3 linked regions of the Ovis aries genome follow. The protein of the gene in region 2 interacts with the protein of the main gene of each other region in a biochemical or structural test. Links are inferred from orthologs where the notes say so. Each region holds a gene or a part of one and is shown on either strand. Other genes may lie near its edges.

Region 1 (3,500 bases), on a different chromosome or scaffold from region 2:
AGTCAGAGGCTTATCCAGCGCAGACCCCATTGGCCAGGCCGGGGGCGAGAGAGGCTGAGTGTGGGGGTCCCTGGCTGGGGCCGACTTGGCTTGTATCCAGGGCTTCTTGGGGCGGGATGTGGGAGCCAAGCTCAGCCTCACCACCCCGGGCTCTTGAGCTCTGGCACTAATGCGGAGGTGGTGGGAAGGGCTTGAGCCAAGGTGTCCAGCAGGCCCAGGGCTCTGCGGCCAGGCTCTCACCAGATGGCGCCTGCGCAGTTCTAGGGGGCTGGTGGTCCCTAGTCCCAGGTGCCCACCCCAACCCCTTGCCCCAGCACAGAGCATCTTTACGGAGTGAAGTGGGGGCAGAGAACAGCGCCAACCTCACCATCACTCCTTGCTCTCCCTCAGGAGAAAGAGAAGAAGTACATGCTGTCCGTGGATAACCTGAAGCTGCGGGACGTGGAGAAGGGCTTCATGTCCAGCAAGCACATCTTTGCCCTCTTCAACACGGAGCAGAGGTGCCCGCCTGCCCCCATGGGGCCCGCAGATCCAGAAGGGAGAGGCACCTGCCCCCAGCCCCCCAGCAAGTCATTCATTTGACAAACATTTGTTGAGTTTCTCCTCTGTGCTAGACTCATGTCAAGATCTCCTTCCTGGCCTGTGCCCCCCGCCCCCATTTCCTTTCTCCTTTCCACCTGACCTCCCTCCCTTTCCCCTTCTGTCTCTCCTTCCCTCCTTCCTCCCCTTCTGCAAGCACTTGGTTAGTAACTGCCCTGGGTAAGATACTGTCAGTACCAGGCCTCTCACCTCCCAACCCAGGGCTGACTCTAGAGGCCCTTCTCCCACTCAGAGATGCGGGTTCAATACAGCTGCCAAGAGGAGAAAGCCAGGGAGGGGGCAATGGGGCTTGAGATCTAAACCAAGGACTGCAATGTCACGGGTGCCCCTTTGATGAGGCCTCAGTCCCTTTCTAATAGAGTATTTTACTGCTCATTTCACTGAATTCTCACAAGGACCCTAAAAGGCAGGACTTGTTACTATTTTTAACTTTTTATTAATTTATTTGGCTGTGCTGGGTCTTAGTTGCAACACACAGTATCTTCGATCTTGTGGCACGCAAGTTCTCTAGTTGCAGCATGTGGGATCTAGTTTCCTGACCAGGGATTGAACTCGGGCCCCTTGTATTGGGAGCATGGAGTCTTAACCACTGGACCACCAGGGAAGTCCCAGGAATTGTTATTATTAACCCATCTTCCAGATGAGAACACTGAGGCTGGGAGAGAGGAAGGGACTTGCCACAGCTGGGAAATAAGAAAGCCAGGACTGGCCCTGCAGGCATGATGACCCCGGTCCACGCGTGCCCTTAACTACCAAGGTGAAGGGGCTTTGCCCTGTCTCCCCTCACCACTGGCCCCACCTTGCAGGAATGTCTACAAGGATTATCGGCAGCTGGAGCTGGCCTGCGAGACACAGGAGGAGGTGGACAGCTGGAAGGCCTCCTTTCTAAGGGCTGGCGTGTACCCTGAGCGTGTTGGGGTGAGTGGCAGGGGAGGTAAGGGAGGGGCAAGCAGCTTAAAATAAGGGGTCCTGCAGGGGAGCCACCCTCAGTGATGCCAAGCCGTGCCATATTTTCGAGGTATTGGGCTCCGAAATAGCAGGGATCCTCCCCCTACCTGCCTCGGGGTGGGATCAGTTAAGCCTTCCTCCCATCCTTCTCCAGTGCCATTTTACATGACCCTTTTCTGCTGCAGATGGCGTTTCCTGTATCCCTTTCATATGATGGTGGTTTCTTGTGATTGCTCTCACTTTTCTCCCCTCTTTCACTGTGACAAAGTCGAGAGTTGCCTTCGAGTTGGGGTGCAGCGCCCAGATTGCTTACTCAGTCTCTCCTCTTTCCTCTCTATGTGTGTCTGCTTCGGCTATGCTCACTGGTGGCGGCGGCGGTGGTGGCAATGCTGATGTGGTGACCTCTGTGGCTTTGGTGTGGGCCTCCCAGGACAAAGAGAAAGTGAGTGTGCCCCTCCCTGGCAGAGTGTGCCTCTGCCAGGCATCTCTAGCCTAGGGCTAGATCTGGCCAGGTCTTTAGAATCCAGAAGGGACCTTGGAGATGTCCTTTTCCTAATTTACGGACTGGAAAAGTAAGGCAAATTCTAGGTACTAGAGTCAGAGCCAAGACAAGGCTGAATGAGGGCCTGGGGTCCTGAGAGGCACTAGGGTGGGCACTCGTGTCCAGAGACCCAGAGCTATGGGGGAGCTGGTGTCTTTGTATATAGGCCAGCTGCTTCTCTCTGTGCTCCAGCTTCTAGCCATCCTTGAAGGGGCTGGGACCCTGGGGATGCCTTGTACCTGGCTTTGAGGGCCCAGCCACCCTGATGCCCTTTGTTCCTAATGGCAGGCCAGTGAGACGGAGGAGAACGGCTCGGACAGCTTCATGCACTCCATGGACCCACAGCTGGAGCGGCAGGTGGAGACCATCCGGAACTTGGTGGATTCATACATGGCCATCGTCAACAAGACTGTCCGGGACCTCATGCCCAAGACGATCATGCATCTCATGATCAACAACGTGGGTTCACCACCTTGTTGGGGGGCAGTAGGACCAGGGAAGTGGGTGGCCGGCTTGGCCTCGGGTAGACACAGGCCAGCCACGGGGGGCTGAATCTGGGGAGGGAGGCAGGGGTCCATGCCAGAGCTGTCCGATAGAAACGTCGTATGAGCTTCACATATTACTCTATAGATTCACACAACCAAATTGTTCCAGACATGCTTAAATTTTTCCAGAAAGGGCTCAGAATCTGCATCTTTTGAGAACTCCCAGACCATGTTTTGAAATACTTCCCCCAGAAACACTTCCACCTGTAGCTTAATGAAAAAGCATAGCCCTAGGGGAATTAGAACTGTGTTGAAATCTTGGGTTTGCCACAAATTCCCTGTGTGATTCTAAGCAAACAACTACCCTCTCTGAGGCTATGTTTCCTTATTTGTAAAATATGGATAATAATAGAATTGAGAATTAAATGATTATAAAGTGCATAACAACACAGTTCCCAGCATGTGATATGTGCTCAACATATATTTAAATAACAAATAAATGAGACACAAGCCAATGGCATAAAAAACCTCCACAAATATTCTCTCCACAAATATTCTCTCCACAAATATTCCAGAGCCTGGACCAGGTAACACTGAGGGATTTTTAAGAACATTAACCCACCTCCTAAACACAGAGACTTGTATTTCACCCAGTCCTGGCACAAATTCACACCTGGTACTCAAGGGCTCAGAACATTTTAAACTGTCATTTTCCTTATTTCGGTCCAGTGGAACATACAAATCTTTGGAAAGGGTGTAACTACCCATTTTGGGCTTCCCAGGTGGCATTAGTGGTAAAGAACCTGCCTGCCAATGTAGGAGACATAAGAGATGCAGGTTTGATCCCCCTGGAGGAGGGCATGGCAGTCCACTCCAGTATTCTTACCAGGAGAATCCCATCGACAGAAGAACCTGGTGGGCTACAG
Region 2 (4,163 bases):
TTAGCTTAAATCTGGAGGGCAAATCTGGACCTAGAGTTACATAAACCCGAACGCCCCTGTTTTACGTAATTGTTCAACGGGGAAAAAAAAAAAAGTGACGGAGGAGAAAGCAGTATTATGGAACCAGTAAGGCAGAAAGAAAAAGAAACTCAAAGTATAGAAACAAAAAGACGCGGGAGTGGATAAACTCCAACCTGGGAGTCTCGGTGGAAGGAGACTTTTGCTTCCATGAAAGTGGAGGAAGATGCAAACTAACATCCACCATCAAAACCAGTAAAAACCAGGAAATCGTCAGGCAACTCAAGTCTCTCCCGCCCCTCAGCGGCCTCAGCTAAGCCAGCTAGGCCTGAGCCCAAGAGGTGTTAAGAAGGTTGGGGTGCGACGGAAACCACCCTGCACCCCAGGGCTGGACGGTCTCGCGGGGCGTCTCCCAAGCTTCCGCCCAAAGGCCGGTTTCCCAAGACACGTAGCGCGTCTCTCGGTGCTCACCTGCCTCGGAGCGGTTCTAACGGCCTGCAGCTTCACCTCCGCCACCTTCAAGCCCCTCAGCAGAGGACCCGCCCCCTAAGCACTAGAGCCTCTTCCCATTGGTCAGGCCGCTCGTCAGTCTCGGACTCTAGAGACCGCCATAGCAACCAAACGCAGAACTACATCTCCCGGCATGCTTTAAGGCGACGCGCTTGGGGCTACCAATTAATGCGAGAAGACCAGCATAGCAACCGAACGCGGAACTACATCTCCCGGCATACTCCAAGGCGACGCACCTGGGGCTATCAATCAAGGCGCGAAGTCCTAGAGGCCGACGGGTTCAGCTTTATGTAAATTTGTTCAAGACCACACCCTTCCTAATTCCAACCACATCCCCACCACCTTCCCGGGACTGTGCCCCGCCCTCCTTGTGCCGCCACATTGTTATCTCCTGTGACACCTGCCGTTAGTTGAAGACGTCCTAACTTGTACCTCGCCTAGCACAGCATCGCCAAATGGCACCGAGACCATGGAACAAAACGTCCCGAAGCCCCACACCAGACGCCTCTAGGCACGTCGGGAAACCCTACGCCAGACGCCTGCTTCGGGAAAGGGGGCGGAACGGCGGGGGGCGGGGGTTGGGGGTGGCCAGGTCCCGCCCCCTCTGAGCTTGCTGATTTGTCGATCCGGCTGTCACTCCCTCCTCTTCCAGGTTTTTTTTTTTTCAGTTGCGTTTCCCCCGCGGTGGGCGGGGCTAGAGGGAGGGGGCGAGAGGAGGTGTGAGCCCTTTCTTTCGATTGGTTGTTTTTTCACTGTCCCCACCCACCCCCCGTGGGCGGAGACGGAGGGGCGGAGAGGGCGCGGGGGAGGCAGGTCCCGGGGGAGATGAGGAGATAGGCGGGAGCGAGGGACTGAGGGAGAGGAGCGAAGGGAGGCCGAGAGCTGAGGTGGAGACGGGAGGGCGCGCAGCTTGGTTGCTCGGTAGTACGGCGGCTCGCGAGGGAGAATCCCGGGCGGACTCCCGGACGCCCCGAGAGGCGGGCGGGGATGGTGTGCGGGGCTGCGGCTCCTGCGTCCCCTTTCCGCGGCGACTGAGCTGCACTGATTTTTTTTTTTGTCCCCCTGAGGCGGCAGCGTGGACCCGCCTGGAGATGAGGTGAGGAGAGGGCTGGACCGCGTCGGCCTGCCTTGCACCCGGCAGGCGGCCGGGGCGAGGGTGGGCGCGATGGCCGCCCGGGACGCCAGTCCACCCCCCAGCCCCGACCCCGGGGCCGGTGTGCGCGTCCCTCCCGGCGCCCTTCACCCTGAGCCGCACGCCCGGGAGGCGCCCTGTGACTCGTCCTTCCCATCCTCCCGAGCCGCCGGGGGTGGCTGGGTGGGTGGTGGTGGTGGCGGCCGGCTGGCACGCGCCGGGAGGCCGGGGCTCCGCGGCGGACCGAGGCTGGGGGGTGGGCGGCGGCCGCGGGACGGGCTTCTGGGGGTTGAATGGGCATCGGTCGCCGTGGCCCGCCGAGCTGGGGGGAGGTCCCGTCCTTTCTCCAGGGGCACGCGGGGCAGTGGGGTCCCTTGCAGGGCTGACCTCGCTGCCCGCGGTCGCCCGAGTGGGGCGGGCCGGCCGAGCCTCGCCTCCCCGCCAGCCTGCCGGGGATCCGGAATGCCCGGCCTCTCCTCCCCGGCTCATCCCTTCTCTCTCCTCCGCCCGCAAAAAAAAAAAAACAAAAAACAACCTACCCTGTCAGTGAAGGGCAGTCAATGCCGTTTTGGCCCCGCGTCCTCCAGCTGGGACTGACTTGACTCCGGTGGTATTTCACAGAAAGCGGCTCATCCTTTCAAGGGGGGAGCGCGTTCCCGGTGTCGGCCGCTTCCTTTTCCCCTTCTTTACGCACTGACACGGTTTTACAGTGTGGACCGAAGCCACAGTTACCAGGCTCTGTCTGGCTTGACCGAGGAAAATGCAGTCAGAATCCCCAGGAAAAGGTAACCGACGAGGAATGGGGTTGCGCCTTTCCCTCTTCTTGTTTGCCTTTTGGATTAGGAAGCACCTTCGTAGATTACATTTCCTATGGGCATCTTTTGTTGTGATTCATACTAAAGGCTTTGTTTTTGAAGAAAACCATTAGGGGCGTCTGTGTTGAGTTGAAGGCTCTGGAGATTTTTTGATAGCCTCTGAAAATGAAAGTTTCCTTTAGAACTTTGCCATCCTCGGTGCTATTCTGGAGGCAGCACCAGCCTGAAAATTTAAACAGATGCGACTCCGAATAGTTGCGTTTCTTTGTGCTTTATCTGCTGGCATCCTGCTCTTAATGTTTACGTGGTCGGGACGTCCAAATAAAACAAGTGCAATAAAAAGTATAGATAATAAAAAACAAGTACCGTGCCAAAAATGCGTCTGGAAAATCTCAATTCTGTCATCGGGGAAACAGTTTTTACTAATCCCTTTGAAAGGATGAAGACCAGGCTCAGAGTTTATGTAGTGGACAGGATCTGAGGGTATGAAATGGGACCATGGAGCCAGCAGGCCGGCTGGTATATGTAGTGCTACTCTTACTGTCTGAAATAGGAGTATATTTGTTGGGATACCCTTATTTTTTATATGACTTAAGGTGCAGAAGCTTAGTACCCCCCCTAAAGTTATGATTTCTACTTATTATGGAGAACAAAATACTGTGTTTTGTTTCTAAATTTTTAATAGTTCACCTGAAACATGTTATTTTTGAGTTTGCTTATAACAAAAGAAGAAAAACATTTTTCAGTATTGAGTTCTTTCTGTAGGACAGTTGTAAAGAACCCCAAAACTTTAGGTAATCCAAATTCAGAAATGAAGGACACTAATTTAGTGATGGTCCAAAAGCTATTTAAGACTTCTATAAGTAGCTGCAGTAGGGTGAATTTCTGATAGAATTGTTTTTGAAGGCTATTTATTTAAGAATGTATCTATTGAAATTTCTGAGGCACATGGTACCTTCACAAAAGTCTATTATTATTCTGCCTGAGTAAGAGAGGAAATGAACACATTTTTGATGTACTTTGGAACCCTGTGGATTGTTCAGATACTAAGCATTGTGAAATAGGGCATAAAACAAGTGGTAGCAAGTTAGTTCCCTGAAATGTTTGTGTCTCTTAGCTTTTTTTTTTTTTGCAATTGACTAGCAATTTCCTTTTTCTTAATGCTTATCCCTATTATTGGAAATAAAACTCTGCTTAAATTCATGTTTTCTCCAAATTACTAGATTGAGGCAAACTCAAATCTCCATAAAGAGGGTTAAGGAGGAGGTGTGATTAAATCCCTCTACTCTTACTCAGCTTTTTAATGTGGATTTGTGAATTATAGGGAATTAATTACAGGTCGGTCGGGTTTATATTACTCAGTTCACATTCCACTGCCGTAGGGCTCTTCTCTTGTGAATGATCTTTCTCTTCTGAATAGTTCCACTTACTGGCAGGTTTCTCAACGTGTAGACCTCAGATCACTTACATCACCATAACCTGAAGTTCTTGGTAAAAATACAGACTCCTGGAATCTGATTTCCAACAAGCTCTCCAGGAAGTTTTCTTACACAGCAGCATTGGAGAACCACTGGCATCGTGGTTCCTTCTCACTGAGTGGCCCCAGACTATGTCCTGAAGAGGATGGCGTGTCTTTCAAGTGACAGAATAGCTTTCATGCCTTGGACATCTAATAAAACACCATGACC
Region 3 (3,500 bases), on a different chromosome or scaffold from region 2:
GCTGTAAACACTGCCTGAGTTTCTCTGTCCATGAATGCAGAAAGGACTTCTGAGAAGCACATTTCCCCCTTTATCCATAGTCATGGATGCCCCCCATTTTTCTTTTTTTAAACTCAACAGTATCTCCTGGAGCTCTGTCCCTATAGAAGCCTTCTTCACTCTTTTTCATGGCCCTGTAGAAGCCCCTGGACACACGGGCCCTCATCGGTTTCAGTTCAGTTCAGTCGCTCAGTCGTGTCCGACTCTTTGTGACCCCATGAATCACAGTATGCCAGGCCTCCCTGTCCATCACCAACTCCCGGAGTTCACTCAGACTCACGTCCATCGAGTCCGTGATGCCATCCAGCCATCTCATCCTCTGTCGTCCCCTTCTCCTCCTGCCCCCAATCCCTCCCAGCATCAGAGTCTTTTCCAGTGAGTCAACTCTCCGCATGAGGTGGCCAAAATACTGGAGTTTCAGCTTTAGCATCATTCCTTCCAAAGAACACCTAGGACTGATCTCCTTTAGAATGGACTGGTTGGATCTCCTTGAGTCCAAGGGACTCTCAAGAGTCTTCTCCAACACCACAGTTCAAAAGCATCAATTCTTTGGCGCTCAGCTTTTTTCACAGTCCAACTCTCCAGGCTCTTTTTGGAGAGCCATGTGGCTGGTTTCTGAGGCTTCCAGTCAATAAAGGGCTAATGTTCACACTTGATCTTAGCCAAAAGGTGAGAAGGTGTTGGGCTGCTGTTTAATAGCATTGTTTTGCATGTGTGCCAGGTTCTCCAAGAGTGAAATCTGTGAGGTGGGGTTTTGTAGCTCCGGTGTAACAGGCACTGTGGTCCTCTGGGGCCTTGGGCTTATGAGTTATCCCTCCTCGGTGCTATATGGTGGCACCTTGGGCCGCAGGGTAACAGTTTAAAAGTTCTTCCTGCCTGCAGTGGGACACAGTGCCAGTTGGGGAGATGGGCCCTATCCTGGGGAAAAGGCATATTTCTTTTTTTAATTTTTTGGCCATGCCACATGGCATGTGGGATCTTAGTTACCTGACCAAGGATTGAACCTGTGCCCTTGCAGTGGAAGCACAGAATCTTAACCTCTGGACCACCAGGAAAGTGCCAGGGGAAGGCATATTTTTGACTGGGGGCACTGACTCAGGACAAATCGCCAGGTAAAGGCTAGGAACACTTCAAGTGTTAGGAAGCGATGTGGGCTGGCAGAGGGTGGAAAGGCAGAGCATACCTCTCAGGAGGACAAACAGGGAAGTGAGTGTCTGGTGGGAGGGGCCCTGCAGGAAAGGAAGCGGGGGTCTGCCTGGGCAGAGGGGCGGGGGGAGGGGAAGGGAAGTAAAACTGCCTGCAGGTGCCTGGGGCTTCCTCTGAGAGCCCAGCTGGCCTCCTGGGAGCCTGGGCCCACATCCTGGTGCTTCCCAGAACGGGGTCCCCCCACCCCTCTATCACCCCATGAGCTAAACAGGGTCATGCCCCAGAAAGGCGACAGGGACCAGAGTGGACTGCCGCCCTCGGGGACCTGCAGCTCCCCAGGAAGGGGCCCCCGGTCACAGAGGGTTTCGGGGTGACCGTCAGATTCATGCCACGGTGCGCGAGTCTCCTTCACACCTTTTTCCTACCTCGGTATTTTGTCATTTCTTTGTCTTGTAGGACAGAATGCACCACACAGCGGTGCGTTTCCATTTGGGTGGTTTGAGTTGATTTTATGGCTTTTATTTATTTTTTTCATTCCTTCTCTCTTTCTCTTTTGAAAGAGTATTTTTAAAACGACAGTCCGGATACAGTGAATGTTCCATTTCCTCCCATGCCGCGACAGGCCGCCGGACTACCACCCCCAGGCGGCCCGTGTCGCCACTTCCTGGGCTTCTTTCTCAAGGCTATAAACCCTGGAGGGGCCGATGCGCCTGGACTGCCGGCCTCCCTCCTGCCTGCTCATCCCGCGTGCCCCGCCTCCTCTCTTTTCCTGTTCTATGCTTTCCATCTTCCTTGTTGCCACCCGAACAGTTAACATATTTACCCGCTGCTCTGTACCTGACTTGTTTCAGTTTTGGCCATGCCTTGTGGCATGCCGGATTTTGGTTCCCTGATCAGGGATGGACCCCATGCCCATTGCAGTGGAAGCGAGGAGTTCTAGCCACTGGACCGTCAGAGAAGTCTCTATCTAGGTTTTTCGTGAACAGCTCATCTCAAGGCTCACTACCTAATCTTTTCTGCGCCGCTGCCTCCTTTTAAAGTTTGTGAATAACGAACGAGTCCCCATGGTTAAAAACCAAACAGTGGGGGGTGGTCTGCGGGCAGGGTCCTCCTGAGCCTCCTGAACCATCCTGCACCCTGTGCTGATGAAGGTGAGTTCTCAGTTCTCCCCATCTTCTCAGAAGGGACCACATCCTACATGTGTCCTGTGCCTTTTCCGGTGAACTGTTTCTGTCATGGTTTGTAGGGCCTGTTCCTGTGGTCTGTCCATACACCATGGCCTGTCTGTCAGTCCTCCCGTGCCTGGGTCCTGCAGTGGCTTTGTAGCCTTTACAGCTTTATTCACTTATTTATTTGGCTGCATCAGGTCTTAATTGTGGCACCCAGGCTTTGTTGCCCCACGACCTGTGGAATCTTAGTTCCCTGACCAGGGATCAAACCCCTGACCCCTGCAGTGGAAGGTAGATTTTTAACCACTGGACCACCACCAGGGAAGTCCCTCCTAGACTTTGTTCTGTTCTCCAGTGAGCAACACTGGCTGTTCACGGCCAGCACTTGGGTCCTGCTCTCTTGATCCATGGTGTGCGTGGCCCAGTTGATCCACCCTCTCCCAGGTCCCCGTGGGCTGTCTGCAGCCTTGCGCTGCTGTGGACCAGGCTGTGTCACCTTTCCCTGCTGCTCGGGGTTTCCATTGGTCCCTTGAGGCTGGGGATGGAGCAGGTCTGCCCCTTCTCAGCATCCTGCCTGTGCTGACCTCTGACTTCTCTCCCACAGCAACTGACCAACCACATCCGGGAATCACTGCCGGCCCTGCGCAGCAAGCTGCAGAGCCAGCTGCTATCCCTGGAGAAGGAGGTGGAGGAGTACAAGAACTTCCGGCCCGATGACCCCACACGCAAGACCAAAGCTCTGCTGCAGTACGTGCCCCTCCCTCAGCCTGGCACTCCCCCAGGAGGCTCGAGGGCCTCCTCCCAGCCATAGGCTCCCCGCCCATCCATCTGTTCAGCAAACCCTTCACCGGAGCCTCCTGTGTGCTGGGCCCTGTCCTGTGCACTAGGGTTGCTCCAGTGTGTGGGGCAGACACCCCATGTGCTCAGAAAGGGGAGAGGAGAGGGATGAGACAAGATAAGTAAATAAGAACATGTGAATAATCTGTGAAATGGCAAAATGTCAAAGTGGGGAAGGGCTGGAGAGCGCCAGGGTAGGCTTGGGGTGCTGTTTAAAGTCAAGTGATCAGTGAAGAGTCAGGCAGAGACTGAAGAGGTGAGGAAGCGGCTGTGCAGTCCTGGGGGTGGGGGCCTGGCCAGTGCAAAGGC

The links.
Region 1: the proteins of ITSN1 (region 2) and DNM1 form a complex in vitro, tested with the Homo sapiens proteins (2 studies listed by BioGRID and IntAct, with this or other methods). The link is inferred for Ovis aries from reciprocal best matches to the Homo sapiens genes ITSN1 and DNM1.
Region 3: the proteins of ITSN1 (region 2) and DNM2 form a complex in vitro, tested with the Homo sapiens proteins (2 studies listed by BioGRID and IntAct, with this or other methods). The link is inferred for Ovis aries from reciprocal best matches to the Homo sapiens genes ITSN1 and DNM2.

The regions. Positions count from the first base shown.
Region 1 is NC_056056.1:8,035,095-8,038,594, reverse strand, and holds part of DNM1 (dynamin-1), read left to right. Parts: intron 1-390; coding exon 391-500; intron 501-1,406; coding exon 1,407-1,518; intron 1,519-1,978; coding exon 1,979-1,990; intron 1,991-2,377; coding exon 2,378-2,548; intron 2,549-3,500. UniProt on the Homo sapiens protein: Catalyzes the hydrolysis of GTP and utilizes this energy to mediate vesicle scission and participates in many forms of endocytosis, such as clathrin-mediated endocytosis or synaptic vesicle endocytosis as well as rapid endocytosis (RE).
Region 2 is NC_056054.1:122,553,501-122,557,663, reverse strand, and holds the start of ITSN1 (intersectin-1), read left to right. Parts: upstream 1-1,363; 5' UTR 1,364-1,624; exon of another isoform or gene 1,625-2,744; intron 2,745-4,163. UniProt on the Homo sapiens protein: Adapter protein that provides a link between the endocytic membrane traffic and the actin assembly machinery. Acts as a guanine nucleotide exchange factor (GEF) for CDC42, and thereby stimulates actin nucleation mediated by WASL and the ARP2/3 complex.
Region 3 is NC_056058.1:13,098,865-13,102,364, forward strand, and holds part of DNM2 (dynamin-2), read left to right. Parts: intron 1-2,958; coding exon 2,959-3,101; intron 3,102-3,500. UniProt on the Homo sapiens protein: Catalyzes the hydrolysis of GTP and utilizes this energy to mediate vesicle scission at plasma membrane during endocytosis and filament remodeling at many actin structures during organization of the actin cytoskeleton.